Linked DNA regions of Pelodiscus sinensis. The protein of the gene in region 3 binds, or shares a complex with, the protein of the main gene of each other region. Links are inferred from orthologs where the notes say so. Each region holds a gene or a part of one and is shown on either strand. Other genes may lie near its edges.

What was found.
Region 1: BAZ1A (region 3) and CHRAC1 share a complex: the UniProt entries of both Homo sapiens proteins name them as parts of the CHRAC ISWI chromatin remodeling complex. The link is inferred for Pelodiscus sinensis from reciprocal best matches to the Homo sapiens genes BAZ1A and CHRAC1.
Region 2: BAZ1A (region 3) and POLE3 share a complex: the UniProt entries of both Homo sapiens proteins name them as parts of the CHRAC ISWI chromatin remodeling complex. The link is inferred for Pelodiscus sinensis from reciprocal best matches to the Homo sapiens genes BAZ1A and POLE3.

Annotation. Positions count from the first base shown.
Region 1 is NC_134712.1:7,846,478-7,856,495, reverse strand, and holds the start of CHRAC1 (chromatin accessibility complex protein 1), read left to right. Parts: upstream 1-5,778; 5' UTR 5,779-5,840; coding exon 5,841-5,978; intron 5,979-9,849; coding exon 9,850-9,976; intron 9,977-10,018. UniProt on the Homo sapiens protein: Forms a complex with DNA polymerase epsilon subunit POLE3 and binds naked DNA, which is then incorporated into chromatin, aided by the nucleosome remodeling activity of ISWI/SNF2H and ACF1.
Region 2 is NC_134732.1:3,226,705-3,236,942, reverse strand, and holds the start of POLE3 (DNA polymerase epsilon subunit 3), read right to left. Parts: upstream 4,041-10,238; 5' UTR 3,987-4,040; exon of another isoform or gene 3,701-3,986; intron 2,929-3,700; 5' UTR 2,913-2,928; coding exon 2,847-2,912; intron 2,057-2,846; coding exon 1,971-2,056; intron 919-1,970; coding exon 800-918; intron 309-799; coding exon 166-308; coding exon of another isoform or gene 154-165; exon of another isoform or gene 56-153; coding exon 1-55. Other genes in the region: C22H9orf43 (uncharacterized protein C9orf43 homolog), read left to right, coding at 5,243-5,420, 7,438-7,615, 9,032-9,131. UniProt on the Homo sapiens protein: Accessory component of the DNA polymerase epsilon complex. Participates in DNA repair and in chromosomal DNA replication.
Region 3 is NC_134714.1:48,391,900-48,401,834, reverse strand, and holds the start of BAZ1A (bromodomain adjacent to zinc finger domain protein 1A), read right to left. Parts: upstream 4,791-9,935; 5' UTR 4,632-4,790; exon of another isoform or gene 4,628-4,631; intron 4,524-4,627; exon of another isoform or gene 4,353-4,523; intron 3,977-4,352; 5' UTR 3,941-3,976; coding exon 3,828-3,940; intron 1-3,827. UniProt on the Homo sapiens protein: Regulatory subunit of the ATP-dependent ACF-1 and ACF-5 ISWI chromatin remodeling complexes, which form ordered nucleosome arrays on chromatin and slide edge- and center-positioned histone octamers away from their original location on the DNA template to facilitate access to DNA during DNA-templated processes such as DNA replication, transcription, and repair.

The DNA.
Region 1 (10,018 bases), on a different chromosome or scaffold from region 3:
GAGAGGCAACCCAGCCACACACACCCCCATCAATCCCACCCCAAGTTTTGCTGGTATTTTTTTTGGAGGGGGGGGCGTGAATGTTTCTCAAAAATCAAAAAGGGGGCGTGATGCGGAAAAGTTTGGGAACCACTGCAGTAGAGACTGAAGGGTGACTCCAGGGAGCCCTAGGAGCCTCACTAAATAGACCAGGAACCCACTGTGCTGGGTGCTGCACAGACACAGAACAAAGCCCCAGAGAGCTGACAAGCGATAGTGGCTAGTTATAGAGGCCCATGGTGACCACAGTCATTTTTTGTATGTATTTGTTCAGTGACATCTGATTTTATCAGTGTATCAACTAGTACTTCTACTTTTAACAGTTTTGTCTCCATCCCAGATGCCTCTTACACTGCTTTGCTAATGAATAACAAACCTGTGTAGCTGCTAATCCCTCAGAGCCACCAGCCTGTGAAGTCACACCTGAGTGCATTAATGCTATGCCCAGCCATCCATGAATAAGTACAGAGCAATACCCCCATATCTGTCAGTCCCAAGCTTTGACCACCAAAAATGTGTTGGGTACTGTTCAGTATCTATTGAATTGTATACACTCATAAACTAGTCAGACCAACAAAGAGTAATGAATATACATCAGCACTGCTGAAATCAAACACACTGATTTCGATAAAAGACGTTTATTAGCTAGCAATCGATAGATTTTAACTGATTTACAAGTGGTAAGACATAAAGGTCATGTAACTCCAAGGCATTGAGATCACAGAGAAGGGACAGTGAAGTCCACTCTACTGCCTTAGCTGAGTGTTTGCTGACTTTTAGCTCATGCTATAGAACAGAGGTGAGGAATCATTTTTGGGTTGGTGGCCACTAACCCACAGAAAAATCAGTGAGGGACTGCACATAAGTGAGAAACCATTAAAAAAATCACCCCTCACCAGAGTAGGCTCCCCAGTGCTGCTGTGGACCAGCCTCTGTTTGTGGGGAGCTCAGATCACAGACAGGGTCTGCTGCCAAGGGGCTGCTATATCAGGCTACATCTACACTGCGTGTTTTTTGTGGAAGAGGAAATGCAAATGAAGTGCTCATTTGCATATCTTGCTCTCTCATTTGCATATATTCTTCTGATCCTTTTTGTGGCAGGCTGGGCAGAAGAGGAAGGAGAGCTCAGTGGTTTGAGCATTGGCTTGCTAACCCAGAAGTTGTAAGTTCAAACCTTGCGGGGGCCATTTAGGGGTCTAGGATAAATCTGTCAGGGATGGTACTTGGTCCTACTGTGAAGGCAGGGGACATGACTTCTCAAGGTCCCTTCCAGCTCTATGAGACAACATATCTCCAGATATTATATGAGAAGAGGTTTTTACAATAAAAAGCCCCATGTAGATGGGGCCATTTGTCAGGAAGAAACCCTTTGCGCAAAAGCCTGTAAACATCATTTTTTGAGGAATAAGGGATCTTGCACAAAAGGTTTTTTTTCCGACAAATGGCCCTGTCTATACAGGGCTTTTTATTGCAAAAATCTCTTCCGCAAAAATGATTGGAAGAATATATGCAAATGAGAGTGCAAGATATTCAAATGAGCACTCCATTTGCATTTCCTCTTCTGCAAAAAACCCACCATGTAGACGTAACCTCAGAGGCAACAGCATGGGGCAGCAGGCAGCAAGTTTGCATGGGGAGCTGGTTTTTAAAATGGCTCCCCTGATGGACCAGCTCTGCCTGCCACCCTGCAGTGCTGCCTCTGATACAGAAGCAGAAGCGCGAGGTGACAGGGAGCTCCCTGGGACAGAAAGTGGGGCAGAGAGCACACTGGCTGCCAACCCGCCCCCAGTGACTATCAAATAGTTGTGCAATCACTAATATTTCATGCCGTTACATGACTATTCCATTACACAATATCTAACATCCTTAGAGGCGACGCCACCTGTACCTCTTATGCCACAATGATGTTACAAGCTCCAGGATAAATGCTGGTTCTGGTTAACTAGCCCCTGAGCACCCAAAACTACTCTCTGTAGGAATTTGCTACTTAGAGTATACTGCGCATGCTCACATGAACTGACCATGTCTGGAGTTTGTCTGGAAATGGGTGACGGGGAGGGATCACGTGAGGATTACCTGTTGTTACCTTGACTGAGGAAGGTTTCTGATCAAAGGGAGCATAGATTTCAGCAAGCTCCTGGAGTAATATCTCATTGGAGATGAAAGGGCATGTTCAGACAGCTATTTTGAAGTCTGTAGGGTAAAGATGAGCCAGAGGCTTTATATTACAGACCAACTATCTTAATTTTTGTACCTGGGAAGTTACAGGAACAAATAATTAAGCAATCAGTTTGCAAACATCTAGAAGAAAATAAGGTGATAAGTAACAGTAAGCATGGATTTGTCAAGAACAATTCATATCAAACCAACCTGATGGATTTCTCTTACAGGATAAGAAATCTTGTGGCTCGGGGGGAAGTGATAGATGTGGTATATCTTGACTTTAGTAAAACTTTTGATACTTTGACCGTCTTGTAAACAAATTAGGGAAATGCTACCTACATGGAGCTATTATAAGGTGCATGCATAACTGGTTGCAAATTCATTCCCCGAGAGTAGTTATCAGTGGTTCACAGTCATTGCTGGAAAAGCATAATGAGTGAGGTCACACAGAGATCAAGCCTGGGTCTGGTGCAACTGTTCATCAATGATTTAGATCAGTAATTCTCAAAGTTCACAATGGGCCCACTTTGTTTACCTAAAGGGTCTGTAGCCACAGAGCCTCACAGCTGCCATTGGCTCTGGTTTGCCATTTACAACCAAGGGGAGTTACAGGAAAGCAGCAGCCCGGGCCATGCCACTTCCCGCGGCTCCTCCTGACTAGAAACAGCAAACCAGAGCCAATGGGAGCCGTGAGGGCCAGAGAAGAGCAATAACAATGGTTAATGGTCTAGGAAAAAATGACCTATGATGGAAGATTTTAAAAATTGGGTTTGTTTAGTCTGTAAAAAGAAGTCTGAGGGTACATGATAATAATTTTCAAGTACCTAAAAGATAGTTATAATGAGGAAGGAGAAAAATTGTTCTTAACCACTGGGGCTTGACAAAAAGCAATGGCCTTAAACTGCAGCAAGGGAGGTTTAGGTTGGATGTCAGGAAAACCTTCCTAACGCTCAGGTTGGTTATCCACTAGAAAAAAATTAACTTGGCAGATGATGGACTCTCCATCTTTGGCCATTTTTAAGAGGTTAGACAAACACCTGTCAGGGATGGTATAAAATAGATCAGGGGTTGGCAACGGACAGCACGCATGCCATAAGTGGCATGTGAGTTGATTTTGAGTGGCATGTGCAGAGGGAGCTCAGCCCCGCGCTGCTGCTGGTGCCTCGTGGCTGGTGCACAACCGCAGCACCAGTTCTGGGCGGGGGGCAAGCAAGGAGGCTGCAGATTGGGATGTGCACAAGCGGCCAGTACTGTCCCCCTTCTCTGCCCACCCAACTTATTGCAGAGCTGGTGAAAGCAGGTGAGCCACTGGTGGTGGTGGTGGTGGCACACCTAGGCTCAGCTGGGCAAGCTCCTCCGGGGGCCAGCGCCTGGACTTGGGCCACATGGCTGCGGCAGCTACTCCTCCAGCAATTGGGGGCAGGACTGGGATCAGGGCTGCAGCAGCTGCTCCTCCAGTAGCCAGGGCCAGGGCTGCAAGGCAGAGCAGGGCTGCTCCAGGGATAGCCAGTCTGCATGGAGAAGCGGGGCTGCTCCAGGGGCTGGAGCTGCTCTGGGAGTGTCTGGGCCACGTGATGGAGCAGGGCTGCTCCAGGGGCCAGAGCTGCTCCGAGGGCAGCTAGGCCACATGGGAGAGAGGGGCGCCCCGATCTGGCTGCCTGGGGCAGGTTGGAGTGAGGTTGGGGTACAGCAGCCGCAGGCTCGCTTTGGGGCACTGTTTTCCTGCTTTGGAGGGGCGTGTGTGTGGAACTGCCTTCCAGCCCCTCTGCTGCCATTGCCTGGGAGTCCTGACCCCACCTCCTCCAGCCCGCTGCTCTCAACCTTTTGCACAGCCCCAGCCCTGCAGCCCCAGCTCTCCCCGCTCTGCTCGCCTCCTTTTCTGCCTTGTGGTGCCCCTGGCAGACAGGCTAAAGATGGCGCTGAAGTCATGCCCAGCCACCAGCACCTCTCTAGAGGGTGAATGCTGCCCAGGCTGCGGCTCTGGGGCTGGGTGGCGGGGGCGGCTTAGGCAGCGAGGAAAACGCATAGGGGTCTCCTGTCCCAAAGCTGTGTTGGCCCGTAGCACCTGAGTCCCTGGCAGGAAGGTGAGGGTGCCATGGACTGGACCCTCATGGGACCCCACCCCCAGCAGGGCTGGACACCCTGGGGTCACCCATCCAACCCCTGCCTTGCCCATTTCCCTTACCCCCCACCCCAGCCACCCTGACTCCAACCTGTGCTGGTTATACAGCATTGTGCCCCAGCAAGATTGGAGCCCACACCAGCTTCCTATGTAGAGGGGGAAGTCCCAAGACTCCACACCACATCCAGCTTCCGGGAAAGTACACACATGCTGCTCCCCCCCCCCTTCCCACAGGAAAAGCTGGAGCAGAGCCCAGGGCAGGAGACCAAGTGGGTGTGCGGTGGAGAGAGCCCCTCCTGGGGTGGGGGGCAGGAAAGCAGCCCAGGGCAGGAGGGTTAAATCTTGGCATGCCACTTCAGAAAGGTTGCTGACCCCTGGAACAGATGGTACTTGGTGCTGCCGTGAGTGCGGAAGACAGTTATTTGTAGGAATTTACTACATCAGGTGGTAGATTTTTGTACAATAGCAACGAGGAGTCCTGTGGCACCTTATAGACTAACTGAAGTGTTGGAGCATAAGCTTTCGTGGGCAAAGACCCACTTCGTCAGATGCACGTCTACATGCATGGCTACATGCATCTGACGAAGTGAGTCTTTGCCCACAAAAGCTTATGCTCCAACACTTCAGTTTAGTAGTCTATATAAGGTGCCATAGCACTCCTCGCCGCTTTTGCAGATTCAGACTAACACGGCTACCCCTCCGATACTTGTACAGTAGCAGTTTCCTACAATCCAGTAACTCCTATAGGTGGCATATTTCTAGGGTTTCCGTATTTGAACTTTCAAAAAAGAGCACACCTGGAGAGGGAGTTGAAGCAAAATGCAGGACAATGTAGCACTTTAAAGACTAACAAGATGGTTTATTAGATGATGAGCTTTCGTGGGCCAGACCCACTTCATTTGATCTGAGGAAGTGGGTCTGGCCCACGAAAGCTCATCATCTAATAAACCATCTAGTTAGTCTTTAAAGCGCTACATTGTCCTGCATTTTGCTTCAACTACCCCAGACTAACACGGCTACATTTCTATCACTGGAGAGGGAGTGTATCTGTATCTGCCAACACATGAATACAAGGTGAGTTGGCAGATACTGATACACTTTTTTGAAAGTTCAAAGATGGAAACCCTCACATTTCTACACAGAGCAGTTTCAGGAACCCAACAGTGAGCAAGGGCTAGCCACAGGGATTTGCTCCCTCAGCTAGCGGTCTTCCACCACAGCCCATCGCCTATCAGCAACTGCTACAGGGAGCAGCCTCCTACGCTCCTCCCGCGGAGCCTCTCAAGGGAGCTTCAAGCAAGGGGCGGGGCTGATGCATCAATTGTAGCCCTTCCCCTAGGAGAGCAGGCTGGATGACGCCAGCGAGGGAGAGGTGCATCCTGGGAGGTGTAGTCCTCCGCCTGCCCCCCGCGCGCAAGAGCGCACGAGCAGAAAACTACCACTCCCGCAGGGCTGTGCTTCCCGGCCTGGCGCTTGGAACGACGGTTGAGGCCGGGGCGCTGAAGCGGCGCGGAAAATGGCGGCGGCGAGGCTGAGCGGCGGAGACAACCGTCTGGTGTCGCTGCCCCTCTCCCGGATCCGGGTGATCATGAAGAGCTCGCCGGAGGTGTCCAGCATCAACCAGGACGCGCTGTTCCTCACCGCCAAGGCCACGGTACCGGGCTCGGATCTCCTGGCGGGGCCGGGCGAGGAGCTCGGCGGGGCTGGGGCCAGGCCCGAGTGGGACTCGTGCTCTTTGGTCGCTGGCACCAGGCACGCTCGTGCGGGGCGCGACCTGCTGTGGAGAAGCCTTGGGCAGCATCTGCCCGTGGCTGTTTCCAGCCCCTGGGGGGGGGAGGGGCTGAAAACGGGGGGGGGGGGGGGGTGCCAGTGAAATCGCTTAGTCCGTTTCCTCAGGGAAGGGGAGGTTGTCCTGACTCACTAGATGTCTTGGGTTGCAGCCTGGCGCGTGGCAAAAATCGTGCCAGGGATTGAGGGGGGGGGGGTTTAATAGCAGCCTTCAACTTCCTGAAGGGGGGTTCCAAAGAGGATGGAGAGAGGCTGTTCTCAGTAGTGACAGATGGCAGAACAAGGAGCAATGGTCTCAAGTTGTGGTGGGAGAGGTCCAGGTTGGATATTAAGAAAAACTATTTCACTAGGAGGGTGATGAAGCACTGGAATGGGTTCCCTAGGGAAGGAGTGGAGTCTCCATCCCTAGAGGTGTTTAAGTCTTGGATTGACAAAGCCCTGGCCGGGTTGATTTAGTTGGGATTGGTCCTGCCTAGAGCAGGGGGCTGGACTTGCTGACCTTCTGAGGTCTCTTCCAGTTCTATGATCATTGCCCCTCCTGCTTCCATGAAGCATAGAGTATCCGTAGATCAAAGTCTGAGGCCTGTCTGCTCTCCCTGTTCATGAGGGTTCAAACAAAAGCTCAGGACATTCATGGAGGTTAGGTCCATCAAGGGTTATTGGCCAGGATGGATAGGAATGGTGTCTGTATCCTCTGTTTGTTGGGAGCTGGAATGGGTGACAGGGCGTGGCTCATCTGTTTTGTTCCTTCCCTTTTGGGCACCTGCTATTGACCGCAGGATACTGGGCTAGATGGACTTTGGGTCTGGCCCAGTATGGCCGTTCTTATGAGGAATCACAAATGCGCTGGTGTTAGAATGCCAGCCAGCTCCTTTTCTGAGTTCCTCAGATTTTTGTGTCTTGACCTAGACTTCCACAAGCATCTCCAAAGGGGGAAATTACATGCAATTTTAGAAGTGCTTTTTGGATCCCCTTTTCAGCAAAATAAACCTGACTAGGCACAGGCATTTAGTTGAAAATCATTGTGCACCTCCTATGCATGCTGCCAGGGAAAGCAGCACGTGTAGAAGCTGCACGTAGGGGATTACCTTTTTAGTAACTGAACTGCAAGATCCTGTACCACAATATTATTATCTGAATATTGACAAGGTTTCAGTTATCAAAATTCATCAGATAATTGAGACATTCTAGTAAGACCAGTGCATGATCTAGTTGATCATATATGTTCCTGGGTGTAGCCATGGAATACAGCATTACACTTTTCGCTTCTGCTAAACCTGGTCTACACTAAAATGTTAGGTAAGCCAATTTAGAGTCAGAGAGTTGTTGTTAACGGTTCTAAATCCTGCTGGAAAGGGATAACAAGTGGAGTTCCTCAAGGGTCTGTTTTGGGACCCGTACTGTTCAATATCTTCATCAATGATGTAGATATTGGGATAGAGAGTACGCTTATTAAGTTTGCAGATGATACCAAACTGGGTGGGGTTGCAACTTCTTTGGAGGATAGGGACATAATTCAAAATGACCTTAGCAAGTTAGAGAAATGGTCAGAGGTAAACAGGATGAGGTTTAATAAAGAGAAATGCAAAGTGCTCCACTTAGGAAGGAACAATCAGTTCCATACATACAAGATGGGAAGCGACTGTCTAGGAAGGAGCATGGCGGAAAGGGATCTAGGGGTCATAGTGGACCACAAGTTGAATATGAGTCAACAGTGTGATGCTGTTGCAAAAAAAGCAAATATGATTCTAGGTTGTATCAACAAGTGTGTTGTAAGCAAAACTCGTGAAGTCATTCTGCCGCTCTACTCTGTACTAGTTAGTCCTCAGCTGGAGTACTGTGTCCAGTTCTGGGCGCCACATTTCAAGAAAGATGTGGAGAAATTGGAAAGGGTCCAGAGAAGAGCGACAAGAATGATTAAAGGTTTAGAGAACATGACCTATGAAGCCAGGCTTCATGAACTGGGCTTGTTTAGTTTGGAAAAAAGAAGATTAAGGGGGGACATGATAGCGGTTTTCAAATATCTAAAAGGGTGTCACAAGGAGGAAGGAGAAAATTTGTTCCTCTTGGTTTCTGAGGACAGGACAAGGAGTAATGGGCTCAAAGTGCAGCAGGGGAGGTTTAGATTGGACATTAGGAAAAAATTCCTAACTGTCAGGGTGGTCAAATATTGGAATAAATTGCCAAGGGAGGTGGTGGAATCTCCCTCTCTGGAGATATTTAAGAACAGGTTAGATAGACATCTGTCAGGGATGGTGTAGGTGGAGCTTGGTCCTGCCTTGAGGGCGGGGGGCTGGACTCGATGACCTCTTGAGGTCCCTTCCAGTCCTATTATTCTATGATTCTATGATTCTATCCTCCTCTATAAGAAGCATAAGACATTTGTCTGTGTAGTTAGGGTGACAAAGTATTCCTGTAGACATTGTTCCTTGCATATATTGGCTGTCATTCTTGTCAACTTCAGGGTTCTGGTGCAGCCATGAAATTGACAAGAAAGTTGGCTTCCTGCTGGAAGCATAGCTGTGCCTGGCAGGGAGCTCTGATCCCCGAGCCTAGGGTGGCTGCCCTGTTTCTGTCAAGGAGCCAAGAAGCCCAGTGTAGCTGCCCCGTTTCCAGGGTGGAGCTGAAGTGGGAGGGCATCCCAACTACAGCTATGTGCAGAGCTAAGATCGCTGGCTCTCAGCCTCCTACCCTGTCCCTCTTATGTTGATGGAAGTGCTCCTGGTGGAGATATACACCACTGTCAGAAGGACAGTGAGACTGTGTCTACATTGGCATGTTTTTGCACAAAAGCGGGTGCTTTTGCGCAAAAACATGCTGCCTATCTACACTGGCGGGGAGTTCTTGCGCAAGAACACAAGTTCTGATGTGTGAAATCAGTGCTTCTTGCGCAAGAACTATGATGCTCCCGCTCAGGAATAAGCCCTCTTGCGCAACTGTTCTTGTGCAAGAGGCCAGTGTAGACAGGCAACATGAATTTCTTGTGCAAGAAAGCCTGATGGCTAAAATGGCCATCAGAGCTTTCTTGCTCAAGAGAGCGTCTACACTGGCACGGATGCTCTTGCGCAAAAGCACATCTCTTGTGCAAAAGCACATGCCAGTGTAGACACTCTTGCGCAAATACTTTAACGCAAAAACTCTTGTGTTAAAAGTATTTGCACAAAATCTTGCCAATGTAGACATAGCCTGAGTGATTATGTGAACCACCCTAGCAATCACTGCAGTGGCTTAAGTTGACTTGACTTAAGTTTTATAGTGTGGACATGCCCTGATATAAAGCTCTGTGACATTCAGTGGAAGTTGCCCCTTGGTGAGTGATGGACTTAATTTGTACTAAATGTAACCTGACGGTCTCTTTCATTATTTCTTTTAATAGGGAAGGAGTCTTTTATCACTTAAGTAGTGGAAACTAGCAAGCATTTTTGCATTATTTAATTACACCCAGAAATATTTTCTTGATATCATCTATCCCATTAGTGTCTGCAGAAGGGATGACAGACTTGAGTGAGTGACACACGTTGTTAGTCTAAGGCCCCAGTTCTGCAATTGGCTACTCACAGATGTACACCTTTGTCTGCTTACACAGCTACATCAAAATTAGTGGGACTCTGTAAGTGCAGGGCAGTGGTTGCATGCAACTAATGCCCGGATTGGGCCTTAAATAAGGGTTTGAAACTTTGCAGCCAGCTGTACACAGGAATTAAGAATTTGACAGGTTTCTTTTCTTTTTTTTTCAGGAGCTCTTTGTCCAGTATTTAGCCACTTACTCCTACAAACATGGCCGCGGGAAAGAGAAGAGATCCCTAACCTATAGTGATCTATCCCACACAGCAGAGGAATCTGAAACGTTTCAGTTCCTTGCTGGTACGTATAGCAATTGTGGCAAATCAGTATGTGCGACTGAAA
Region 2 (10,238 bases), on a different chromosome or scaffold from region 3:
AATGAAAGCCAGGAGGGATGGATCCCATAGGAGCAGCACAGAACTTTGCTGGAAACTGGAAAGCAAGAGGACACTTCAAGGTTGATTTACAGTATGTATATGTCTAGGAGGGCAGCCCAGCCCAGCCCACATGCCTGTGTGTCTGCAGGAAGCTCAGTTATCCACCTCTTCATCATCATTTTGTTCCTCCTCTTCCATCCGTTCATCATCTTCATCATTCTCCTCCTCCCTGCTCTTGTCTTGTTCCTCAGAGTCTGCCTTCTTGTCTTTCCTTGCTTCTTTCTTGCCTTTTTGCTCACGCCTGTAAACTAACAGAACAAGAGAACTACAATTGGACATATGTATGTTATTGTATCCATTGTAGGGACAATCTAGATGTGCTCCCCCATGCTATGACCCAGGGTCTCCCCTTGCTCTCCAGGCTTATAAAAATGGAACACTGAATCTCTTTATAGTAGCTACTCATCCTGTTATCTGAGCTGTGCTGACAGGCTCTAGAGGAAGTTATGTTAAATGATGTTTAGCAGAAAGATGGGAAGAAGGTAACAGGAATTCATGTACATTACACAGAAGTGATGGGGAAAGACAGAAAAACCATGACTGTGCATCCTTAAAATACAGTTATGAAATTACATCATAGAAGTTCTGGTAAACTACATGTTCATATGTCCCCATTAAAACTGCAATGAAAAATTTTCTGACAAAAAAAGGGAGGTAAGATTTGGATGTCCAACCCTCAGGGTAAATAGGACTCATTGTCATTAGGACTAATTTAATATACAATTAAAGAACAAGTTACCTTCCAATGATTCCTTCAAAGGCGCGATAAATCGCTGGAACTCCATTTCCTCCATGGCTGAGAGGACATCTCCAGCATTCAGTGTTTTCCTTTTCCCCTTCACTGCAAAGTTATTTGCGCTAGTTAAAGTGAGGAAGCAGAATAAATATCAAATAGCAAATCAACCCCAAATTCCATCTGTTCAAAGCAGCACAGCCAACTTAAACAATTACGGCTCTCTGAAATACTCAATTGCTATTGTGATAAGCAGCACCTAGGATGACTGACCAGGAAACAGATTAAATTAAAAAAAAAAAACCTTTGTTTATAGTGTGCATTTAAGTGTATCTAGTCAGTTTCACGTTAGTGAGGTTACCATTTATATGGGTCTTTTAAACTACAAGAAAAAAAAAAACATGTTTAAATGTGGTTGTAAAAGTGGCAAGATGATTCAAGGACACTAGCAAATATGTAGTTACTACATGTATAATTTAATTCGTTTTTTAAAAGTTCACTAGTATTCAAACGTCCCTGTAAAATTAAAAGGTATGCCATCAAACTGAATTTCAACTGCTATAGATTTAGAGAATTTAAGTGCAGGAGGAAGCTAAATGCTATAAAACTCAATGAGTAATTTAACATACAGTATGAAACATGCCTAGTTAGTTACTACATTATTTAGGTTAGCACTCAGAAGGGAAGTCATAAGGCTACAATGGATTCACATAACGCAAGAACAAGGAGCCCTTATGTAAATTAATGTTTGCTATAAAAAGGCTTTATAATTTTATGACCAGTGTTTTCTGAAAAAATGATAAAGTGCAGTGATAAAGGTAAATCAAATGTGATGGTTAAGGATGTAAGTGATCACTACCGGGAACAGGCAATAACCCAGCCCCATCTTTGTAGGCCCTCAGAATGTATATACTGGGCAAATAACTGATGGCATTATGAAGCACTGATGCAAAAGAAAGTATTTGCTACTTAATCAAAAACTATTTTTAACAATCTTATATTACACAAAGGTCACATTACAAACTAAAGCCACATTAAGCTTTATAATGCTTCGTGTACATGAAAGATAAACATGTCTTTCATTACAGGTAGTGAAAAAATTCCATCAAAGAGAGCCAGCAGAAAGGCTAGCTACAGATCAAATGGTCCATTAGATCAGGTCACCAGTGATGCTTACCATGATGTGGCATACAACACAAACACACTTGCAGCTCGAGATATTGCACTCCGAGCTTCTTTGGAAATGTTCACTCCCTCAGGAAGCTGGGAAAAGGGAAATGCCATTTTATCAGATGCAATTCAAGTCATATGGATCTGGAGACTTATCAAGTCCAGTCTAATGGGACTGAAAGTCACCAGTTTGGTCAAATCATCCTGAGTATTTGCAGTAAGGATGTAAAATCCCATTTAAACAGTTAACCAAGGTTTAACCAGGTAATTGATTAAGCAGGATTTGGGGTTGAGAGGAGGCTGCAGCCCAGCTGGAACGGCATCCCCCTACTCTGTAAGCAGGGCTCCTGGGTCCGTGAGTGGCTGCCAGTTCCCACCCTGGCCTGTGGCATGGTGGGTTGGAGCAGCCCTCCATCTACTGCAGGTCACGGGCAAGGGGCTACTCCCTGGCACCAATTAACTGTTACCTGGTAAGCATCACCCGTTAAACTACAACTTAAAAAAAAAAAAACGCAATAAAGATCACAGAACAGTATTTCTCTGTTTTTCCCAATTTACCTTGAGCACCTGGCATAAAGAAGTTCATTTTACTATGTAGTCAGATTTCCCTGTTCTGGTATGTCTCTCAAAGCAAGGGGCAGAAAAAATGCTAAAAAAGTAGCTGTAAAACCACAAGAGCTAACAAGGGATTTTTTTAGCAAATGATTAATTTCAAATTGACAGTTTTCCCATCAAACTGTTTTACCATCTACAACACAAAAGTTTAAAAAATTACACAGCAAAGGACCCAATTTATGTGTAACTGGCACACTGTACTCTATTGATGTTTTCAGTCTTTTAATTCAATCTTCTTGAATGCTTTTAGCTCTCCAGTGATACTCACTGCTTCTTTAATTATCCGAGTGATGACAGCATTGGGCAGGTTCAAGTCCTCTGGTCTTTCTGCCATCTTTGAACACCTAGAACTAAAATGAGAACTATTCAAGCTATTTTTTCTGCTTACCAGTTCTGCTTATAATACAACACGTCTCATTATTATAGTAGAGCTAGGCAGTTCTGCTATGCAAAGTGCCCATATAAAAGTGACACCAGCTTACTCAGCAGCTCTGCCCCATACATCTAGTTGCTTGTCAATGAGAAAATATCTTTACTACTCTTTATTCCCGATACCTCTGCAGAACCAGCAGAGGTAAAAGGGATTCCCTGGATTTTTTTTTCTTAACTCCCCTGTGTATTTAAAAAACAAACAAACCCCAGAGTGGTCCTGTAGCACCTTAGAGACTAACATTATGTGTATAAGCTTCAGGGGAGTAGCCCAGTTAATCTGGACAGGATGAATTCAAACAACACACAGTCTGGTAGCACTTTAAAGACTAACGTGCTACCAGACTATCTGTTGCTTTTGTCTCTATATTGCCATGAGCTTCTGTGGGCGCAACCCACATTTTCACGAGCGGGCGGCGCCCACGATTTTATATTTAAAAGCACCGGGCGGCCGAGCAGCCCCTTGCAGGCTCACAAAGCAGCAGAGGGGGCCGCGAGCGTGCGGGGGTCCGACCCCAGCGCCTCAGCGCTCATGCCCCGTCTACGTGTCCCGGCAGAGACGCTGCTGAGGTGTCCGCGGGCCGCGGCTTGCCCCAGGGTGCCCGGGTGCAGGCCAAGGGGCTGCAGGGCCCGGGGGGGGGGGGGTTCAATGTCAGACTCCCCCCCCCCGGAAGCGAACCCAGCGCGTGACACCTGCGAGTGCTGCGCGGGCTCCTCAGCGGGCGCGGCGGGGTCAGGCCGGTGGGCCCAGAGCCCGGGGGGGGGGGGGGGGCGCAGGCAGACCGCCCCCCCAGCAGCGCCCCTCCCGCGGGGGGAGCCGCCCTTCCCGGCGCTGACAGTGGCGGGGGGGAGTGGACACCCGAGGGGGGGGCAGTGGAGGCCCGGCCCGCGGGCCACTGGCTCCGTGTCCGCTCCCTGCGCCCCCGCCCGCGTGCGGACCAAAGGCCCCGCGAACCGAACCGCGCGCCCAGCCCCTGACCTCTCACCCCTCCCAGCATGCAGCGCGCGGGCGACAGCCTCCCCCGCCCCCGCCTTCTTCCCGGCGTGCACCGCGGCCGCACCCGCCTTGCCCGGGCGCGGGTTGTTGCCTGGCAACGCGTCTAGCGGGGCCGAGCCTGGGCAGCCGCGGGCAGGTGAGAGGCGGCCCCCGCGAGCGCAGGGGATGTAGGGGGGGGCCTGGGCAGTGCGGGGGAGAGAACGGGAGGGGGAGCGGATGGTGGCTGGATGGGGGGGCAAGAGGGGAGCGGCTGGGGGAGTGGCCGTGGGGGCAGAGGTGGGGGGGAGGGGAGTGGCCGTGGGGGCAGAGGTGGGGGGGAGGGGAGTGGCCGTGGGGACAGAGGTGGGGGGGAGGGGAGTGGCCGTGGGGACAGAGGTGGGGGAGGGGAGTGCTTTATACCCCGGGCTCTGGAATCCCCCTCAGGTGGCAAAGTGGGAGCTGGGTGACGTGATGCTGTTGCATTGGGAGCTTTTTATTCCTGCGCAGCACTGAGGACTGTCCCGCTATGCTGTCAACTCACCCCATGAGAAGCAGGCCACAGAGAGGGCTTAATTGGCCAGGCAGCCTTTATTGCGCTGCTTCCTACATATATTTTAATAATACATTTCTAGCACATATATATACATTCCTTTTTTTGTTACGATATGCAGCGTACCATCACCTTTTTTTGGAAGCACTCTTTGCTTTCTTCCAGCACAGCCCCCATCCGGCCCTGAGCACTCGCTTTTCGCCAGATGGGAGTCTGCTCGGACACGCAGCAATTAAAGGGGCCCCTGCGACCGCATTTCGGCCCCGACCTCCCAGAAGAAGCACTATCTATCTATCTATCTATCTATCTATCTATCTATCTATCTATCTATCTATCTATCTATCTATCTATCTATCATTCTTTGTACACAAGCTATTCATGCATCGTGCAATGATGTTCGGGACCAGCAGGTTTCCATGTGATACATATTATGATAGCAGTTTGTTGGCGGTAATCAGTGTGTCAGACGTAAAGTGTGTTGTAGTGTGGTGAGCCCTCTGCTAGTTGGCATCGAGGGGTTCCCAGGATCACAGTCACCTAACAAGACAACCCAGAATAAAAGTAGGAAATTATGACTACTTCATGTGCTGTTATTTTATGGTAATGTTACGATTCTTGTTAACATTTCTCACTGTGTTCAGTTCTTCTGTTTTTGCAGAGTATTCAGACATCCAGTATTGCCAGCTTACTGCTATTCATTAATGTCTGGATGGTTGCAAATATGGTGACTGCAGGTGTCAGCCAGTGGGACGAAACCATCTGTGACATGGCTGTCTGCCAACACCCACAGTGCTGGGACACTATAAGGAGGATTGAACAGGGACAGCCTCGGATCCGTTTAAGAAACTTTGACACACTCTGCAGGGTTTCTTCTTCAGAAAGCAAAGGTAAACCCAGTGACCATGGCCCACCCTATCTTTCGGCATGTCTACTCTACATAGCTTTTAGCAACACCGCCCTCTCCCTAAAAGTCAGGCAGCGTAAACACTGTTGGCAGTTTTACCTACAAAAAACTTCCACCCCCTAGGAGTGGCTATCATGGACAATGCACTGTTTACACTAGTACTTGCCATGTCAAAGCTTTGCCATTCAGGAGGGTGGGTTTTTAAGCACCTGTGAATGACAAAAGCTTTCTTGCGCAATTGCCAGCGGAGACAAGCCTGAGAGGAGAAACTTCTATTCTGAACTCCATTCATCTGAAGAAGTGGGTTGTGCCCATGAAAGTTCATGATACCATCTTCTTTCATTAGGGTATATCTACACTTACACCCACTTTTGAGGTTTACCAGTTATTTCAAGAGAGAGGTTTTCTCTCGAAATAACCACGTCTTAACAGCGACTGTTATTTCAAAATAGCGCTATTATGCAAATGAAGCATGGGATATTTAAATCCCGACTTCATTTGCCATTTCGAATGTCTTCATTTGCATCCCTCTCTCAAAAGAGGGTGCAAGTGTAGACATACCCTTAGTCTCTAAGGTGCTGCAAGACTATTTGTTTTTTAAGTTTATTCTGAACTTGTTAGCCAACTTCAGGGACAATCCTAGTACAATTTGTTGTTTTTACACAAGTTAACAGGTCAAGTTAGACTGTTTGTAGCTTTTTTTTGAAAGCTAGAAAGGATCATTAGATCATCTACTGTGTCCTTCTGCATGGTACATGCCATAACATTTCACCATCACTCTTGTACTGAACCCAATAACTTGTGTTTGACTAAAGCATATTATCCAGAAAGAAATTTAAGCCTTGATTTGAAGACAGGATACAGAGATTGAGAACCCACCACTGCTTTTGGTAGTTTGTTCAGTCACCCTTAACGTTAAATGTGTGTGCCTAATTTCTCATTTGAATTTATCTAAATTAAATTCCAGTACCAAGTAACATGGTCACATGTATCTGCAAGGCCCTAGTCTCCATACTTCACAGGCTGACCAACAAGTCCACAGGAACATTAAGCTCTATTGTCTCTTTGCTAACGGGCCCTGATAGCCTTAAAGTGTAATCAGTGGGAGTGACTGAAAACAGCAAATATGCATTTACAGATACACAGTTCAATATTCTTAACTTGAGTCTACAAAAATGATACGTGCAAACAAATGAGAGAATCATATTCAGTAAATTGCAGCTTTTCCAATGATACTTTGCAACGTAGTCTGCATAAAGCATATTCCAGTTATGTTATATTTATATTCATAAGCACAGTTCCATAAAGAATATGGACTGCCCCATCACAGTTTTTGAAAGCAATAATCTTTCATGTGAGAGGTAAAACAGATCTTGAGCACTTATGATTATTAAATAGCCCCTGATTTTCTGTGTAACAAGATGTTAAATTTGGTGTCACAGCCAAATTCCAGTGAGGCAATGAAATTTATCCTAACTAAAAGTTCTCCCTGAAATTAGATTTATATTATTCTTCATGTCCTTTCAAACTGTTATGTAGTATTGCCCTGCATTATTAAATAGAGCAGAGGTGGCTGCCCTTTCCATGGTGGGTTAAGCTGGGTTGGGAGTTGGAGGGATTATGAAGCTGAATTAACTATTATTTGTAAAAGTGTCAGAAGAGTAGCCGTGTTAGTCTGTAACTGAAAAAAATTAAAAAACAACTAATGGTCCTGTAGCACCTTAGAGCCTAACAAAAATATAGCTAGTCTCATGAGCTTTCGTGGGCACAACCCACTTCTTCAGATGTTTGTAAAGTATTTTGATCTTCTCTGATAGAAGGCATAGGATTAATTACATTTTAATTAGTTACAATTAAAATGGGCTAATAGAATACTGACAAAGCTGTAAATAATATATAGAGTGACCGTTTAGTTCTAACTAAATATTGTCCATTTTAATTGTAGACTCCTGTAACCTCAGATCCTCAGTGTTCACAGTGTCTTTGCTTTTAATTTGTAGATGAGTTACCATCACTGAAGATTGTAAACTTTCCCAGCAATTGTTCTCCCCAAGAAAGGATCAGATGTTCCAATTGTAACAGAACTATTTCCTCCTTGGCTGCACTTGAGACCTCTTTTTCTCCTTCTCTGTATGAAACTTCAGTCTATGATTTCTTTGAAAGAAATTCTGAAGTCAGGTGAATTGCTGCCAACCTCCAATCTCTGGATGATTTATGAATGTTTCCAGTATTCCCAGGACTAAGACTCTGTAGCAGAATGGTGGCACCCTTGAGAGAGATGGTAGTTCCTGTGGGTCATGGAACATGTTACCCTATCCGTGTTTCATACATTACAGAGCAAACGGTTACCACTTATGGCCCTAATTCTGCAAAAAATTACACATATGCTGAACTTCACACATGTGAGTGGACCCATTGATTTCAGTGTTAACTGTGTGCATTGATTTATACAATCGGGGCTTAAAAATAAATGCCTTTAAAAGACCAGATTACTCTCCTGGAATATAGGATACATTGTTATTGAAATATTCATATTGTTCAAATTAATGCCAGATCCTCATTGTATACATTGCACAAATCCATAAACAGTCCCAACCACAAACAGCTTACAGTTTAAACCAAAAAAACAAATTGAATGTTTTGCCTAGAATCCTGCTTACTTGGTTAATCAGTTAACATTAGCTTAATCTAATGTTTAAGTGTTTAACAGATTAATCCGGATTTTACATCCGTACTGTGTAAGATGTATTATTTGTCTTTAACTGCATCCGCTAACTCATGTAAGGACTACAAACTACCTTCTTGTTGCTAGAATTTCACCTCAAGTTAGCCAACAACAATCTAACAAAGGCACCTTCCAAGAAACTCAGGCTATTGGCTCAGAAGGAAAGCCCTGCAGCTCTTCTATTTTCCTTGCATTATCTGCCAGTTTTTAATATGTATATGAACTATATTCATACTTAGGGCTTATGAATATACAGAGGTTATGGCTCCTGCTGCTCATGTATAACTGATTAATTGCCCCCCCCCCCCCGAGTTAGCTGCACTGATGTAAGAACTACCTGCACTTTGTCTCCGCTAAGATTTTATATCAGGACAGCTTTCTCGATGGAAAAACACACATCGTTTTTGCATGAAGACAAAGCCAGTAAGGCCAAAATTGTGTTTGTAATAGGTCAGGCCCCATTTGGTGCTGTCATCCCATGTGATGAGACCCTCACTGAGCCTGTTTTCTGTGCCAGCTTGAGCCCCCAGTACCCCCGATTTAAAAACTGTAAATGATGGGGAATCTACTACTTGAGCCCTTAAAATCTGCTTTGTATCTATGGACAATGTTTGCAGTTTGCATGCAATACAAATTTTGTATCTGCGTAGGTCTCTGCCTACTACAGCAAGGGCCGGATTAAGGAGGGGGCTAGCCGGGAAGCTGCACCAACCTGGGGGTGGGCATCTGATTGCAGCCGTAAGGGGCACCCGGGATGCAAGAATGGCTCGAGCCAGCCCTGACTACAGCCTTAATAGCAGCTAATGTCCTTTGCATGCTGTTAGTTTGTATTGGTCTCACTGTGATTTTGGTTTGTACCTATATTTCAGTTTAGAAAGAACTCATTTCCCAGGACTGAACTCAGTGGCAGAGTCACGCGTGATGCCACAGAGGGAGATGAGCTTCACCTATTTGAATAAAGTTGGAAATGTGAGTGACAGAGGGGAAAGATGAGTAGTTGCCAGGATCTGCTTTTTACAGAACTCAGGGCTAACTTTTTCAGCTGGTTAAGTGGCCAAAGGTGCCCTCAGTGGGACACTATTTGGGCACTCTTGTGTTATGGCACAAATTAAAACAGCATTTATCGGTGGCAGATATTTGCGGCATGTCTACACTATGTGTGGCTTCCGAAAGAAGATATGCAAATTCGGCTTGAATTTGCATATCTTCCATTTTTTTCATCTACACGGGGCCAAATATTGGAAAATCCTCTTTCGGGGAAAAAAACCAGAAGAAGATACGCAAATTCAAGCCGAATTTGCATATTTTCTTTCGGAAACCACACATAGTCTAGATGTGCCGACAGGTATATGTCTGTAAACATCAATATCACCACACACACAACAAAAACACATTTCCATCAGTAGTAATTTAAATTTACAGAAAGAAAATGCTGCTTCAGAACTTTGTATATTTTGATACGATATTGACACTGTTTTAACAGCTATAAAGCTTTAAGTTTTTAAATCTCAAAGGGTATGTCTACACTGCATTCCTCTTTCGAGAGAGGAATGCAAATGCAGCCAAGCGAAATTGCAAATGAAGCGCAGATTTGAATTTCCCGCGCTTCATTTACATAATCGTGTCCGGCCGCTATGTCGAAATACCCTATTTTGAGATGAAAAACGCTGTGTAAACGCGGTTATTTCAAGAAAAAATCATTCTTTAGAAATAACCCTTAAACCTCATTATATAAGGAGAACGGGTTATTTTGAAGGAAGGGTTTTTTCTCGAAATAGCCTCATCTACACAGCGTTTTTTATCTCGAAAATGGGTATTTCGACATAGTGGCCGGATGTGATTACACAAATGAAGCTCAGGAAATTCAAATCTGCGCTTCATATGCAATTTTGCTCGGCTGCATTTGCATTCCTCTCTCAAAAGAGTAATGCAGTGTAGATATACCCAAAGTCTGTAAATTTTCTCATCCCTCTCCCCATAATTTCCTGCAACTGTGAACATTTAAATTAATAAAAATGGATTTATTTCTTAAAACCCATAATTTTATATAGCTGTGAAAGTGGAATTTAATAAAAA
Region 3 (9,935 bases):
GCGCCTCTCACACACTGGGACCCGAGCTCCGCACTTCCCTGCTCTTCCCTCTTCCTCCCTGCACTTTTGGAGCATAAGAATTGCCTGATTCATGCTCTGTCCCCTTCCTCCCAGAGCTGGAATGCAGCAAATCAGTTGTCACCATAATGTATGCCATTTACACATACAACTATTTTTGGAATTCTGCTAAACCACTGGCATCAATAATATCTGGCATCAATGAGTTCCACTGGCTTATTGTGCAGTTGTGAAAAAAAAAGTTTTTCAAATGTATTAGCTTATGCACTTTTAAATGCACTTTTAAATATCACTTTACAATTAGTGGAGATTAGGGATATGATAGTGTAAACATGTAAATGATTAACCAATGAGCCTGTATCTGAGGCAGCAGCGCAGGGGAAGGGAATGGAGTCACCTACCTCCTTCCCACATGTAAACGTTTAACTACTGAAAATGTCAGCAGTTACACGTTTGCCAATATAAACTAATTTTGGCATCCCTAGTAGAGACTAGATTTCTACCACCTTTAAAAACACAGTGGATGGTGATCTTCAGTTCTCAGTTAGAATACATCACAACCAGCTAACACAATTTTAAAGGTGTTAAACTATGACAGTAAAAGGTGTTAAATGACATTTCAAAACACATTGCCCACTTGATTTAAAACAAAAACATACAGTAATTCCTCATTTAACACTATAGATATGTTTCAGAAAATGATCGTGTTAAGTGAAAACGTGTTATGTGGGGTCAATTTTCCCATTGAAAATAATGGAAAAAGTGGGGGTTGCGTTTCAAGTGGTGATGTCTGTTGGGACCGGGACATAAGGTTGGGGGAGAAAGGGGACTGGGTTACAGCAGGGAGGGAAGGTGTTTGGCTGTGTGGAAGGGAAGGGGAGGAGAGGGGAGGGGGATTGGATTGGGAGTATGCCCCTGTGATGGGTCTGCCAGGACCTGCTCTGCATCCAGCGAAGGGGAACGGGGGGAGGAAGTCGCCGGGGAACGGCATGGCGAGCGGCAAACCCTCTGCCGCTTTGCAGGGAGGCAGGGAAAGCCCTGCGTAGCCGCCAGCGACGGGCCGCCTGGGGAAATGGTGTTATTCCGGGGACAGTCATGTAATTAAAAAAATGTTCCCTTAAAAAAAAAAATCATGCTATCACAAAAACGTGTTAAGCTGGCACGTGTTAAATGAGGAATTGCTGTACTCCCTTTTCTCAGCCTAACCATCAAAGATCAAGGAAAGGGAAAAGAAATAGAGTAGGTGAGTGCAGATATAGCAATGGTCCAGAAAGTGAAAGAGTATTTTCCCACTGAGTGATATCTAATATGACAAATAGTAACTAAAAGTTTAGTTAGTACATGAAGGCCATATTTAATCCTTGCAAGCTGCCATCAGATCTGAGCAAAGAGTAATTGAGAACTGAGTGTAGTATGTATTTCTAGATCCAGCCAGCCTAGGAACCAGATTAAAACATGGAATTCGGCCCTTTCCAAATACTGAAGGACTTTTTTTTTTTTTTTTTAATCTTTACAACTCTTCCATGCAGTTATGAAAGAGGTACTAAAGCTTCATTCTGTTGAGTGTCTTTCTAAACTACACATATACACTTGATTTTAATTTGGGTTGTTAATGAGAGTCAGTTATAATACTGTGATAACAATAAGGGTACGTCTAGACAGCATGGCTATTTTGGGATACCAGAAGTATCCCAAAATAGCTACTCCGCATCTTAACAAGCCGCCTGTTATTTTGAAATATTTTTCAAAATAACGGGTACACTATTTCAACATCCCTGTAACTCTTGTTCCACAAGGGTTAAGAGAGGTCTCAAAATAGTGCGGGTTTTTTCAAAATTTGGCGCTGTGCAGATGTACCAAATTTCAAATTAGAATTGAAATAAGATACACAATTTACACTGTGCAAATTGCGTATCTTATTTCAAGTTTAGGTGTGGTGTAAATGCACCCTAATTTTATTTATGAAAGACATTTTCAAAATAGTGGAATTAAGAGAAATCTTATATTCTGTAGAAAAACGTAGGTCCTTATGTTCCTGCCTTTTATATCCTTGATATGTTAATGCAGACACTTCTGAACTACACTTAATAAACTTTCTTTACGGGCTTTTTTTTTTTTAATTCTCTCCTCCACTACAATTTAGGAAACACAAGGACCCTTTCAAAATTATTCAATCCAACTCCTCTTAAGATATTATTTGGTGAAGTCTATTTGAGTAGCAAAAACAAGTCCAAGCATGGTAAAATTTACATGTGCTCTAATTTTACATACTGCAAAAGAAAGTATTTATTTTAAAAAAAAAACGTAAGACAAAATTTGATTTTTGGGAACATTTTGTGGGTGGGTGGAAGTGATTAATTAACATTCATATCTTATAAGTAATGTTGGATCAGATTGTAAAGTTAAAAGAGTCAGCTTTAAAACAAAATCTTATCTTTCTAAAGATTTTTACCCACTGCTGCTACAAAATAATCATAATCAGCATAAGTGAGTGAGAACAGAGAAATATAATTTTTCCTGCTTTTTGCATAGGTCTTGTACATTTGACAACACTGTTTCACAATCTCTGTTGGTCTTTTACACAAGAACAGGGGAAATACATTCTAATAGAAAAATGGCTGTCAAGCTATAAATATTGGTGGGGAAACCTGCGGCTTTGCACACTACTGGAAACTGCGTTGGGTTTGTTTTGGGTGATTTTTACTGCATTAAATTGGCGTTCCTCTGACACGGAAAATCTCAGTTACCTTAAGAGGCTGCTGTGAGCAGAAAGCCTGCAAAGTGGAATTAAAGATGCTACTATAATACCCTGACATTAATGCCCTTAGGGACAGATACAACATCCTTGCCCCCAGCAATCCTCCTCCTCAGTCTCAAAGGACGAGTGTCAGGGCTGCAAAGCTGATGAAAGAACCCCCCAACTATTGCTTGATGCAAGCGCCGAGACAGGGCACGTTCAAGACCAGGAGCTGGGAGGGAGTTCAAACGGTCACTCAGCAACTCTCAACCCGGCAGTGCATTGGAGCTGACGGGGGCGAGGCTGGCGGCGCGGCAGGAGCGCGGCAACCCCGGGCGAGAACAAGGAAAGGGTTAATGAGAGGGTGGGGGCTGAAATGGCTCCGCGTGGTGCGCCCCCCACAACCCCGGCCCGGCTGCTACGACAACAATAGTGAGGCAGCAGCACATGTCAGGCTGCTCGACCCGCACTCAGGGGCCGCCGCTCCCCCACGGCGCTATTTAAACCGCGGCCCGGCCGCCGCCGAGCCCGAGTTAGGCGCGCGGCTGTTCAGCGCCAGCGGCCCGGTGACCGTTGTGCCCCTTCTCTGGGGGCTGTGGGCGGGGCTGGCGCACGCAGCGAGGCCTAGTAGCTGCCGACATGCGGCTCGGGCGCCCCTGAAGGAGCTGGGGGCCGGGCCAGGCACTTACTGCCTCCCGCTCAACTTTCACTTCCCGGCTGCCTCTGGCGGCCCGCGGCCGGGGCGCCCGGATAGTGACACCGCACGCTAGGCAGCTCGCCCGCTGCTTCCCCGCCGCCCCAGGAGCCAGGGTGGCGACTGGCCTCCCCGTGGGGCCTGACGGGACCCCGGGGGTGAGGCGGGTTCGGGGAGGGGATCCCGGTCTCCGCGGGGCGCCCTCCCCAGCCGGGGAGACGCAGGGCTCGCCGCCCACAGCGCTCCCAGCGGAGTGTCTCCGGGACGCCGGGCAGGGAATCCCCTCCCACCCCAGATGTCAGCCGTTCGGGAGGTTAAACTGCCCGGCCCGCCCGGGGAAGGGGAAGCGGACCAGGAGGGGGGGGGGTCGTCTCTTACTCGTAGTCCCTAAAGATCTCGTTGGTGACCCTGCAGTAGAAGACGCGCTCGTCGGGCCGCAGGTCGGCGGGGGGCTTCTCCCTCACGAAGGGCTTTCGGTGCAGCAGCGGCATCGCCCCGCTCCGCGCGCTCCTTCCTGCCCCGGCCCGCTTCAAATTGGAGGGAAAAGGAGAGTGAGTGCGAGCGGCGGCCCGGGAGGAGGGAGCGGGGCCCGGCGTGTCCCTCCCCCCAGGGGAGCAGCTCGGGTCGCGGCGCTACTGGGAATCCGGCGGCGGCGGCAGCCTTTTGTGTGCTTGACACGCCGCTGCCTGCCTGGGACTGCGAGGAGGGAGCTACGGATCCTTCCTCCCCCGCCTCCTCCTCCTGCCTCACAATGGGGCCATGACGCCGAGCAGCAGGCGGAGGCGGCCCACTCCCCCTGGAGTCACACAACGTGCTCGGCTCGGGGATACCCCGGCTGCTGCGATCGCGCTTTGTCTCCACCGGTTCCCCGGCCACGGGGTCACCCCCTTCCCCGCCTCTGACCTGCACACGCCGGGTCGGACACCAACTTCCACTCCCCCTTCGCCGCCTCCTCCCAACCCCTACTCAGCAAACCGGGGGGGAGGGGAGCGGTGATCACTTCTCTTCCTCCTTCGCTTCCTGCCGGGCTAGTGGCCAGTGGGACTCCCCTACGTCCGCGTCTCTGCCGGCCGGGAGGGGCATAGTGGGGTCACCCTTCTCATTCCCGGCGGGTGCGTAATGGGAACTTCCTTGTCCGCCCGTCGGAGTGGTATATAAAGAGGTCTTCCTCCTCTTACCTACCGTCTGTTTAATAGGGTCCCGACCCCTTTTTGCCTGGGTGGGGGGTACGGAGATCTTCTCCTCCTTGCTTATTTTCCTCCTCTTGCTCTGCTGTCTTTCCCCCTCAGCTCCTGGGAAGTTTTTGATCTACTTCAGCTCAATGAGGAAGAGCTGCTGGGAGGAGCTTTTCACTTCTCTACCCTACATCTTTATTGGCCGCTCAGTGCCTTCTCGTGTGTGTCACACAGGAAGACAGAGAGCTACATTATTAATTAATGGCTGAGAGGACTCATCCTCCATTTTTGAATTATCAGCCTAAAGATCTATAGCGTGAGGGGGTGACCGATCTGGGGCAACGACCTGGATCCTCCTCACTGCTTGGTACCCAAGCAGGTTGGGTTTTAAATGACAAGCCACTTGGATACGAGGAAAAGCTGCTGATAAGGGGAATTCGTATTCAAAGACAGGAATAAAGACGTTTCAGACACAGTAGCACATTTCTCCTTTCAGAAATTACGGCTGCTACTTCAAAAATTCTCTCTGTGCATTCACACAAAATCTCATTACTTCTTAACCTTGGAAAAGTCACTGGCCCCATTGCATACTCAATTCATCAGGGATAGAAATATCAGTACTTTATAAAAATCTCTTTCCTATAAATTGCAATCTCAAAGGCTTTAGTGTTGGCTAGCACAATTGTGGAGAAATGTCTCTCTTCCATTACTTAAGACCAAAATGATACATTTCCAGAGGAGTTCAGGTGGAACCGTGTTCAAGAATACTGTGGTTAAAATTATCTCAAGTGTAACTCCTATACACAGTTTAGGGGTCTCTGGGCCACAAAACATGACCTGCTACCTTCAGCTCAGCTGATCTAAGAATAGCTAGGTACTACCCTACCAAAGCACACCCTATTGTTGTTATTCTTAAATTGATTTTTATTTCAATACATGTATTTTAAACATTGATTAAACACTCAGGTTTGCCAGATGCTATACCCTGATGATCTTAACATCTAAGGTTCCAGTCCTGCAAAACACATTAATAACTTTATTTACTCAGTAAATCAGTCACATTCATAAGTATTTGAAGGGCTAGTTCCCAAATAGGAATATACAATCTAAAGTCCTGTTCCTGCAATAGGTGTACTTGTACAGTCCCTGTACTTATCAAGAATCCCTAATTTCACTGACATTTCATGCAAGTGTAGTGGTCTGCACTAGTGTAATTGCAGGATAAAAGGCTAAATGAAAGTTGCCATTATATAGAATCATAGAATTTGAATTTTTGTTATGGGTAGAAAATCTGATTTGGGTCATTGACATTTTAAGTTATGTTCATTCCTTGCATTTAGTTTATAAAATGTTTAGCTTAAACTATTAATAGGATGCCCACAAGTCAGCTCCAATTCTACCCATTTATTTTCCCCATTTGCCATTGGCCTTCGTTTACCATTTTAAATTAATTTGTAGTAGACGGCAGAGATGTGATTGCAAACAATTTTTTAAAAAGTATTTAATAAGCACAACTGAAATCATGTTTTTGTCTGTTTTGCAGCAAAATCTTAGTGTTTCAAAAACAAATACTGTGGGAATGGCATTCAGCTTTGCTAGTTCTTGTGATTTCATGGCAACTTTTGCAATATATCACATTTTTCTTAAAGTTCTAACTCCTGGAGACACAATTAGATGGGAATCTCAGCTTTAATTTAAGAAAAAGTTTCTACCACTGAGGGCTGCAGACAAAAGCTGGAAAATTAACACCCTGAAAACTGAAAAGACAGAAGGAAATAAAATAAGCCCTATATTAATAACTTATTAAAATTCCATTATTCTGGAGTTATACTATGATTTTTGAACATTTAAGGTTGTCAGTACTGCATTATTTTATAACTAGTTGGCATCCATGAAAAATTCATGATCTGATAGAATTATGACATCAAAAACGGATTCCCTTTCCCTGTCTCCTTTGCCCTCTCTCTCTCTCGTTCTCTTTCCCTCCTCTTTGTTCCTCCCTCTCATTTATTCTCTCAGCTGTTTCCCTGTGAGGGTTGAGTAGTAGGGTTGTGGTATCAGAGGTGCTGTTTGCATTTATTCAGGATACAGTGAAGCTGTTGGATGGTATATTTAGCTTTGAGTTTTGAACTATTTCTGCTTTTACAAAGCCAAGATTTTAGAGCTTCCCCTTGCTGGCTGTGGTGGGACTTCACTTTTTTGCCCACAGTACAGACTCCTCTGGCCCTCCCCAGTGTCTGGCCAGTGGGCTTTTCAGCCCTTCCCTGTCACCCATTCACTCTTCAGCCAGGCAGCTAAGGGCTCCATCTCCACCCTGGACCCCCCACCCCAGGAGTGTGTAGTCACACAGACTGTCACTGAGGGTGCAGCAGCCTGGACCACCACCATCTGGAGAGAAGCGGAGTCTCCTCCTGCCAGAGATTGTGGGGCTGGCACTATGAACAAAACTTTCTCTCCATGTGAGTGAGCTGGGGTGAAAAGGGAGTTGGGCAAGTCTGGCAACAAAGCACGGGGAGGCTGGGAAGAGAGGGATGGAATTGGCCTTGGAGGTAGAAATGTGCATGGGACTTCAGGGAGTTTGGGGGGAGGGCAGAATAGGACTCCCACTGGGGAGAGCCAGGCAGGTAGAAGGTGGGGACAAGCATGGAAAGGAAGGATGGTAACAGTGAGGTTTTGTTCCTTTATTTCTCTATTTTGCGGTGAATCATCCAATCTAAGACTTAACATAATAAATGAGAGCAATGAAAGGGGTAATGAAAAGAAAGAATAGGGGTTATGGCAATATGAAATTATGGGGGTTGCATATACAGGTTAATCATAGATGCACTGTGCTGAGGTTCTGGAATCGTCTTAAAATACTTGCACATTTTTTCTTTAAATCTTTTAAAAAATCCCACCTGCCTTTAAAGCATGTTGTTTGGTTATTTGCAACATTCTGGTGTCATTTCTGACCGTGTTAGTGAGACCTATCAGCATTTTCTTCAACAGCTGGGGATCCTTTCCCACAGACCAAGGAGGCAGAGCACACAGCACAAAAGCTGTTCAAAGATGGGGCCAAATACAGACAGAAGCACATGGGCTGCTGGGACGTGAAATGATTTAGGATGACCCTGGTCTCCTTTTGCCTTCCCATAAAAGTCAGCAGCAGAAGCAGGGCTGGCTTGAGCCATTCCTGCGCCCCGGGCTGCGGGTGCGTGATGAATGCACGGCTCCGCTGCACGGCGCATGCGCAGCCCCAGCGCGCTGTGCACCTTACAGCTGCAATTGGGCGTGTGGTGCCTGATGGCAGCTCTAAGGGGCGGCGCACGGTGCCCCTTACAGCTGCCATCAGGCATCCCCCAGAGGTTGGCGCCCCAGGCAGCTACCTGGCTAGCCCCCCCCTTAATCCGGCCCTGAGCTGCAGAAGAGGAGGGGGTGCTCTGTGGGATAGTTGTCCACAGTGCAGTGCTCCGAAAGCCACTGCAAGTGTGGTCACAATACTCTGCATTTTCACTATTTAGCCATCCCTTTACCTCTTCCAGTGTAGACATTGTCTTAGTGTAGCTGATGAAATAACATCTATCCGTTAAGAGCATGAAACAAAAGTTTGGAGAGGTGTGAACTTCTCTCTATTTATCTCAATAGACTTAACTCAGCCAGGTTGTGATTTCTTAACACAGTTAGTTGGAATGTTACACCTAACTCATCTATGTCCCCACACAAAAAACTCTAGGTCAGATTAAATGGTGCTTTAAACTCAAGAAGGGGTTAGTTGAAGCTCCCTCCCGTGATCCTGGTGCATTAGCTGGTAGTACTGTGGGAATGCAACAACCCAAATTACAACTCATCAGCAGCTAATCCCATTACCTTGTGCTATAAATCACATACCCTGTGTAGAATAGTGATAGAAATGTAGCCGTGTTAGTCTGGTGTAGCTGAAACAAAATACAGGACTATGTAGCACTTTAAAGACTAACAAGATGGTTTATTAGATGATGAGCTTTTGTGGGCCAGACCCACTTCCTCAGATCAAATAGTGGAAGAAAATAATTTTCTTCCACTATTTGATCTGAGGAAGTGGGTCATACCCTGTGTGTAACTCCAGTATGCTTTTATCAATTGAGCTAGCCTAACTGGACTGCAGTAACTTGAGCACACTCAGGCTGGATCTTCCCTAACAATTTACATGAGTATAGCTACATCTCTCAGAAACTAGGAGTCCTGTGGCACCTTAAAGACTAACAGATTTATTTGTTGCATCTGATGAAGTGTTTTTCTACCCACGAAAGCTAATGTCCAAATAAAACAGTTAGTCTTTAAGGTGCTACAGAAATGGTCACCAACCAGTGGATTGGAATAGATTGATAGATCTTGGAGCCTCTGACAGGTGATCCTGACTGATTTGGTTAGGATGCTATCAAATGCTGTCCCTACACCTCATGCTACTCCTGCCCTTTGCCTTGGAGCTGCCACCTTGGGAGCCTCCTACTTGCTGTGCAGGAGGTGGGAGGGAGAAAACAGGGAATGCTGATGTTCTCCCCCCACTTCTGTACCCCATCTCTACAAAAAGAAGGGGATGGAGGGAGGTTGGCAATGAAAATCTCTGACACTCTCACACACTGTGTGTGTTTGTCATTCTCACAAACATGCACTGTCCTTTATGCTCATCTCCCAATCCAGCACAAACTTGGGGGGGTTGTTGTTACTTCTTGTACTACTTGCAAAGTCTGTTATTTTGGTTTTTGACTGGTCTGTGCATTTCATAATTTTAGTTTCTCTCTTACACTTAAATTTAATTCTTTCAGTAGTGAGTTCTAAAATGTCTAACCTATAGCGGCTGGAGTAATTCTCCCTGTGGTAATTGTTGCTTATGGAAGTAGCTGGCATGTCCCTGCAGCCCCTGAGAAAGGCAGAGCAGGGGGTCTCCACATGCTGTCCTTGCCTGCAGACAGTGCTCCTGTAGCTCCCACTGATCAGTAATGGCCAGTAGAATGTGTGGGCTCAGGGCCTGTAGATGAGGGGCAGCACATGGCACCATAGAGCCATTGCTGTACATGCCAGCTGCTTTCAGGAGTGTTGCAGGGCCAGGGCAGGAATAAGCCTGCCTTAACCTCATTGCTCCACCACCCAGAAACTGTCTCAGTTAAACAGTGCCCAGACAGAGCCTGCTTCCTGAACCCCTGTCCCAGCCCTGAACCTCCTCCTACACCCAACTTCCTGCCCCAGATGTGTGTCCCCCTGCACCCAAACTCCTTCCCAGAGCTTGCACCCTGAAACCCCTCTGGACCCCAATCCCACACCCTGGGCTAAGTCCAGAGCCCCTCCCACACTC